Linked DNA regions of Oryzias latipes. The main gene of each other region encodes a partner of the protein of the gene in region 2 in a complex. Links are inferred from orthologs where the notes say so. Each region holds a gene or a part of one and is shown on either strand. Other genes may lie near its edges.

The links. Proteins that work in one complex are often made in the same cells at the same time.
Region 1: strn3 (region 2) and pdcd10 share a complex: the UniProt entries of both Homo sapiens proteins name them as parts of the core of STRIPAK complex. The link is inferred for Oryzias latipes from reciprocal best matches to the Homo sapiens genes STRN3 and PDCD10.

What each region holds. Positions count from the first base shown.
Region 1 is NC_019880.2:9,003,947-9,007,599, forward strand, and holds part of pdcd10 (programmed cell death protein 10), read right to left. Parts: intron 2,744-3,653; coding exon 2,617-2,743; intron 1,667-2,616; coding exon 1,588-1,666; intron 1,515-1,587; coding exon 1,432-1,514; intron 1-1,431. UniProt on the Homo sapiens protein: Promotes cell proliferation. Modulates apoptotic pathways. Increases mitogen-activated protein kinase activity and STK26 activity. Important for cell migration, and for normal structure and assembly of the Golgi complex.
Region 2 is NC_019880.2:2,602,426-2,606,504, reverse strand, and holds the start of strn3 (striatin-3), read left to right. Parts: upstream 1-1,168; 5' UTR 1,169-1,429; coding exon 1,430-1,666; intron 1,667-3,579; coding exon 3,580-3,683; intron 3,684-4,079. UniProt on the Homo sapiens protein: Calmodulin-binding scaffolding protein which is the center of the striatin-interacting phosphatase and kinase (STRIPAK) complexes.

The DNA of each region.
Region 1 (3,653 bases), about 6.4 Mb from region 2:
AAAACTGGTTAAGATTTATTTCTTTTGTAAGTGACTATGGCCTTCAAAGTGTGCATTATCACTTTTTTATTAAATCTTGTAGAGATTTCTTTCACAGATTAAGATATTTCTAGTGTTTCCTAATGCTAACAAAAAACCTAAATGTTTGTATCTAAAAATTGTTATTTAAGAAAAAGTAAAGACTCGATTTGATGAATGAGGTGGAAAAGCAGATTTGCAGCGAGACAATCAGTCTGTGGATGTGCTAAAGTCCAGGTTGCTCTGATCCAGGCGTTTTCTCAGTGGTTGGGTGTGGCGTCTCTCATTTCCTCTTTTCAAAACTTCTCAGATTGTCTGTTAAATTTAGATCAGCTGAGTTTGCTAAACAATATCCAATCCAGGGTTTGGTTCAGCTGGGGAAAAAGAAAATCAGTAGAAGGGGGTATGAAGAACTCTACAACATCGTGTAGATGGCATGGCTCCTCAAACCACCTGCAAGTGAAGAACCTCTACAATCAACCTTAAACTACGAGGACTCTGTCTTCTTTCTCCAGACTCTGGGATCTTCATGTTTCAAACTGTCCTTTCCTCTGACCTAATCCAAAGAATGTGATGGTTGCAGTCCATGTCCTACATCCTGAGGTGGCTCTTCCATTCCACAATTAGCCAGCCTCTTGTTAAGCTTTCTAAAACGTCTCCACTTTGCATGAAGGAGACAGCACTCTGTGAGAAACCAGCTTCTTAAGCAACGAGCTGGCGTGTCTTACCTAGCTGGTGAGGGGAGTCACTGATCATCATCTGGTCAAGTCCAACAAACTCCTCCAGACTGTTATCAACCATTTAGAGGCTAAGAAATCCGAAGTGTGACAGTACAACACTTCAAAATCAAACTTCTGTTGCCGTAGTTTCTGAAGAAGTGAATTAGGGTTGTACCGATCGGGATGTCAGTCAGTCATCACGATGGACGATTTCATCAAATCGAGTCTTTCATCGTGGATGAGTCATTAGTTGGGAAATAAAATAAATTAAGTAATAAAGTAAAATCACAAATAATAATTGTATAATAACGAAAAATTAAAAATACGGGGGGTGAATCTGCTGCAAAAGGTCAGCATCAAAACTACAAACATGAAACAATCATAATTGTGATAAACAGAAAAAGAATAAATGAATTAGTCTGAGAGCTATCAGGGGATGGTATCATACAGTCTGTCCTTTTTTTCCCTCTTCTTTTTCAGGTTACAACTAGTAAATCAAAAATATGAAGACTTTGTTTAAAATATATATCCCTGATTTAAAAAAAATCTTCCATTTTTAAAACGTAATCCGACATTCGTGTGTATTCATAAATCTGAAGGCTTGACAATCAAACTCGTGGATGGACTCATTGTGAGATAAGAAATGGGTCATATATAACCCGAACTTGTCTGTCAGTGTTAAGTTCACACTTACTTTCCGTCTTTGAAGTATATTTTGAGGGTGTCGCTGAAACTCTTGGAGTATTTCACAAACTCCCTTTTCTGGTTCTCCAGAGCCTTGAAGAGAAGAAAAACCTTTAGAAACGAAGCTTTTGTGTTGACCGGCTGTCTTCTGGGGTTCCTGACTTACCCTGCGGTTCTGGTACTGATATTTCTTAATGACGTTGTTGACCGTATCCAGGAGCTCTTTGATGGCGCTGGCTATGTCTCTGTGAATTACAGTTAATACAGATTTAAATACAGGAAAAGTAAAAAGCGCATTTAAAGGAAGTATTTAAATGCATTTCATAAATTTCACAAAAACAAATCTTTTTTTACCTCCATGACGCATTTCCCTAAACGACTATATCTGTCCAACAAACAATTAAAAAATATAAAGCCATAAATTAGGTCAAATTCCCCTTTATTTTATTTTTTTATGAATTTGTTGAAAGACCTGGATTTGCCTTAAACGTTTGCTTCCACCTTTGATCATCCAAGAAAAGTATGATATCCTAACTGTTTCCTTGAAAGATGATTAGAGAGTGAATTATTATAAAATTCAGGTCCCCCTGCCAGGACTCGAACCGGGGGCCTTCTTGCTGTGAGGCAAGAGCGCTAACCACTGCGCCACCGTGCAGCCAAAAAAATATAAAAGGCATGAAAAAAAGAGTTTAATGTAAATTCAGAAAGTTATTACAAAAAAAGTATTAAAACTTGCAATACCCAAAAAAAAAATAATAAAAAAAAAAAAATACCCAAAATAAATAAGAGTCACTTCCGACTTTTCTTCTACAGAAGAAAAGTCTTATTTATATAGCGTATTAGTATACATTTTAAATATATAATATATATTTGAAATATATAAGTATTTCAAATATTTGTTATATATTTGAAATATATAACAAAAGCCTTTCAAAATAGAGCCAGAGGATTCAATGACCCAAAGCCTCACTAGAATCTCTACATTTCATTAAATTGTGTTTTTAGATGAAGTTTTTTTTTCTAAGGCTTGTGCCTGTAATTTAAAGATGGATTATTCAATACTGATACAAATTTGGAGTCCAAAGAGAAAACCATTTGGTTCTGCATGCACTCTGATTCTCCTGCAGATCACCACTGAGACTGGGAATTGTGGGGGGTTGATTGCTTTAGCTTTCATTCTGCTGCTCGCACTCACTTGATAGTTTGTAGGAAGCGTACTCTGTCGTTGATCTCATCTGGGATTTTGCTAAGGATGTGCTTCAGAGCTCGGGCCTTCTCGTTCAGGTCCTGGAACTCCTGTTCGGGCCGGTCAATCATGAACTCTGCAGCGAAGGGGAATTGAACACACATTTCCAGTAAGTTACTAAATAAATACCTGGAGGAACTTCAGAAAAGATTTACATAGAAGGAATGTATTCAGAACTCTTAAAGACAAAGAAAGGTGTTTTTTTTTCCCTTTTGGGTATCTGAAGCACAGAAATGATGTCTATTGTATTTCAAAGAACTGCTGTTGTGGGAAACTCCTGATTATAATTCAAGGTGTCCTTATCAAAGCATTTCAGGATTAAGGACATTCAGCTGAACGTGTGCAATACAGTTACCACTGTGTCACTAGTTTTATGAAATAAAGTCCAAGCAACTAACTAATTTTGAATGATAGATGTTAGAAACATGACTGTTGCTTTCTTGCAAATGGTTAAAAAAAACAGCTGAAAATGTAAAATTTCAAAGGGGTTTACCTTTAAAATCACTACAGAATGATGGTGCCATCAAGACTAATACAGCAATATTAATGCGTCATTCAAACCCGAATGCAGGTATTCAATTTGGTGAATTTTTGGCTCCCCAGAGCTTCCGTAGCGTTTGTTTCACACGGCAGTATGGCAAGCGACAAACAACAACATCATAGCACAGACGAAACAGCAAGCCACAGCATGGCTACCAGTGAGAGTGGGAAGTTTGATCCCAAGACAGGAATAAAATCATCTGTTGTTTGGAACTGGTATGGGTTTGCTGCCACAGACGTGGAGGGAGAGACCCCATGCTGCAACATTTGGCTAAAGCCCATCGCAGTCCCGCAGCGTGCTGACACACATACACATTCTACAACACCTATATAGTTAGTTCATTGGCTAAATAGTAGATAGTTGTCACTGTTATTTGTTAACAAAGAATACTGCGTTTTAATTATGAATCGTGTTCATTTGCGACGCAGCCGTCGAGGGATTTTGT
Region 2 (4,079 bases):
AACAACAAGACCAATGATTGGCCAGTGATTTGCAGCAAAGCACTCTGGGAAACGGGACGTACTGCTATTGTTGTTATGCTACAAGCTAAAGGTAAGTGCTTTAGGCGAAGCATCCAGCTTAATATGATATTTTTCAGATTTTCATCGAGAAAATAACAGATCGACCATTCTTGCTTTTATTTTTACCCCTATTGAATGCTCACAGAGACACGGAAGTAGCGGCAGGAAGCGGCTTTTGCAGCAAGATGACTGAGGGCGTACCAGATGTGAACGTGAAAACGATGGATGCTTCTGTGCTTTTATAAATAAAATAAATAAATCTGTTCTCTAAACATCCTCCGTGTCTTCAATGCAATGTAATGAGACACACACAGACAGAAATGTGAAGGTATCTGCTGTAAATCTATGACGTAAATTAATAACAGGAAATGATCGGCTAGTCAGTTAGCATGTAGCCTAATAGCCTTCGAATGTAAAAATACTGACTGCTAAAGTTAATAAAAGACAAGTCCTGAATATTATTATTCCTATTCGACCCTAAACTACAATATCAGCTGTCTGACAACAGACCAGCCAGTTGCCCAAATGCCGGCATACATGATCAGACAGAGAGCTCTGCGGCGGAGCTAGCCTAGCAGGAGCTATCGTTTGACAAAGCAGCCTAGTTATCATAAATCTTTTGATATTTTTCTTATATTCATTGAGACGGTAATAAAGTGATCATTTTTGTTTTTCATGTTCCTTTTTTGAACGAATATGGGTCACAGAGACACGGAAGTTACCGCTGAAAGCGGCTTTTGCCGGCGTACAGAGAGCATATCCGCGTGAATGACTTATGACGTGAATAATTATTGCGTTCGAACGGATTAATTATTGCGTTCGAACGACATAATTATTGCGTTCGCACAAGTTAATCATTTCGAGGGAACGGAATAGTATTTTGAGGGAACGCAATAGTATCTTGTGGGAACGGAAAAGTATCTTGTGGGAACGGAATAGTATTTCGTGCGAACGACATAATAACCTGTGGGAACAAGATATTAATCTGTGGGAACAAGATATATTTTTATATCTTAATGTCAGGACACGGGCTCCGTAATTTTATTTTTAGGTTTGGGGTCTAAATGTGTGTCTGGATTTCCCGGCATGCAGCGCGGCAGGATTCCCCCTCGCAGCCGTCACATCCAGGCGGACAGCAGTGATGGCGGCCGGTGAGACTCACACGTAAACACCGCCTCCAAGTCGCCGCTCTCCGCTAAGCGCTCAGGGGCAGCCGGCCTCTTCCACGGCGGCGGTGCCAGCGCGACAAGTACCCCGGCGGAGACGCGCGAGGCCTTCGGCGCCTTTTTTTTTCCTTCTTTAATATTTAAAATCGGTTAGCTAATCATTAAGTACAAACGGCGCCGCACGTTCTAACAAAACCCGAAATATGGACGAACACCCAGGCGGGGGAGGAGCGGCCTCCCCGCGGCCGCCGCCGCTGCAGCAGCACGGGAGCAACTCCGGACCTCCCATCGGAACGGTCATGGTGCCCCAGCAGACGGACGAGTTAGCCCGGCCACAGCAGCAGTACACTATCCCGGGAATTCTACACTACATCCAGCACGAGTGGGCCCGGTTCGAAATGGAGAGGGCGCACTGGGAGGTGGAGCGGGCCGAACTCCAGGTTAGTCCGTCGCTATGGGTTAGCTGCTTAGCATTAGCATGGTTAGCTTCTTTTTTTCCACAGTCACCGGGGATCTCAAATAACCTTTTATCGGTATACGTATTAACGTGAATTTAAGGTAGCGACCGGAGCCCCACTGACATGTCAAGGGGGACGAGTAACCGGCGTGGAGGTCTGTTATCCAGCCGGGAGTCTGAGTGCGTTGGCCGTTAGCTTTGGAGCCCGTGGCTCAACTGAGATATCGGGAGCCTGCAGCCGCCGTGGATACGTTAATCGTGCTGTTTTGACATTTGGACCAGATGTTGGTCAGATGTTGTTCGTGACAGTCAGACGACCCTAAACGAATGACCTTACCGATTCAAATCCGTGATTCTGGAGGTTTTTTTTAATCAACCTATACATAGAAAAGTGGCTTTTTCTGGTTCTCTGGTTGGCTGCGAAGCATCTTTCAGGTCACACCTCCCTCTGGAAGATCTCCTGCATTCTAGGTCTTTATTTGCTGTCAGTTTTTTTATTTATTTACATGAATTCCTGTACATTTTCCATTTGAAGTCTGTGGATTTCTCCTTGGAAACAGCCTGTAAACAAACATGACTTCCCGATGAGAGAAGCGGGATCTGGAGCTGCTCCATGTTCTTCATGGAGCTCCAGGTGTGTGTTGGCTTTGCCGTGTCCAGCAGCAGATCTGCTGCTTCTACATCTCAGTTTGTGTGACAGAAGCAGACCCTTTTGGGTTTTTAGAAGGAATATCTGGCATCATCTCAGCTGTGGAGATGTTTCTGTCGGGGGGGGGGGGGGGGGGACGCTTTAATAAAGGCTAAAAACAAAATGAGAGTGTTGGTAGTGATATCATTTCATCACCATTGAACAATAAGGTTACTCCTCAGAGCCATTGAACGTATTGTGAGTCTCCAGGATGAGGATGATGAAGAGGCCGGAGGATTCTGCTCTGATCCTGGTCTGTGATGTCACAACCCAAAGGATGGTCCAATCAGATATTTATAGAAGTAGGTGACCCTGAACCAACGTCAGGCTCTCACATCAAACTGCATGGATCTCCCTTTTGGAGATTTGATATTTAAATTCCCTTAAAATTTAACTCACGAAGCAGAAGGAGACACTGGTGGGTTTATAATAACGAGGAAAAAGGAGTTAGTTTTAACCAAAATATGCTTTTTTTTCCTGTTATGGCATTATGTCTGCGCTGTTATTGATGTACACAATATTTTACATAATAAATGTGTTTTTAAATCATTCTTTTTTTATTAGAAACTGTCGAATTCTTTCATTTTTTAGATTTTATTAAATTTTTCCTCCTCATGTTTTAAGTCTTTTTGTTCTTCTGCAATGTTGCCACTAGATGGCACTAGATGTTTACACAGCAACCTCAAAAAGCCAAAAATAAATGTAAAAAAAAAATCAATTGTATTGTATCTTCCAGCTTCCAGAGCCACGTTTTGCTCCTCTGGACATGAATTCAGAGCAAAACTCTGACAGTGTGACGTCGTCGGTCTTAAATAGCTGTACTGACACAACGACAGTGGCGTTTTAATGAGGTGACGTGGTTGAATAACTGCAGCCCACATGTGCTGTTTTGGTCAGGGGTGTTGAGAAGCTCCCGATGACTCACAGGAACTCTGTCTGGTTTGTCATCGCCATACATTTAGGCTGAGCTGCTCACCGAACCTCCTTTCCAGTGTCTGATTCATGTAGGTGTCACATGACCTCACTCAACTCAACAACCATGTAAACAATCTTTAAAGAGTGACTCCCATATCTTTCAGAAACCTATCATAAAGAGAAGATCCAGGAGGATTTGGTTTCTCTGGAAGTGACTCGGTTGTTTTCTTGACACAATATTTTTGTGTACATAAGAGTTTTGAAACATTTGTTTCTGTTCTGCGTCTTTCCAGGCCCGGATAGCGTTCCTGCAGGGGGAGAGGAAGGGCCAGGAGAACCTAAAGAACGATCTGGTTCGAAGAATCAAGATGTTAGAATATGCTTTAAAACAGGAAAGGTAGGAACCCCGACTCATCTCAATTTATTCATTTTATCATCTAAATGTTTGAGACCAAAGAAAAAAAAATCTCTGCCTTCAAACAGGAAAACGACTAAAATCCAGAGGGAATGCTTCACTTTACGAACAGAGAATTAGGTTCGTTTGGAAGTGATTTCATAGCAGAAAAACAAGTTTCAGGTCAGAATCAATGTGAAAAACCTTGACCCAAGCTTAAAGTTGATTCCCCTTGTGGTTAAAATCATTTTCATCTTTTAAAAACAAGAATTTTATATTAAAAGGATTAAGATTTTTCTCTTTGCTTTTGGTCTTTTGAACATCCAATTCAAAATATATCAAACATTTATTTCATAACATATCAGATATATTTTTTTGTTTAGACAATTAAACAGAAAA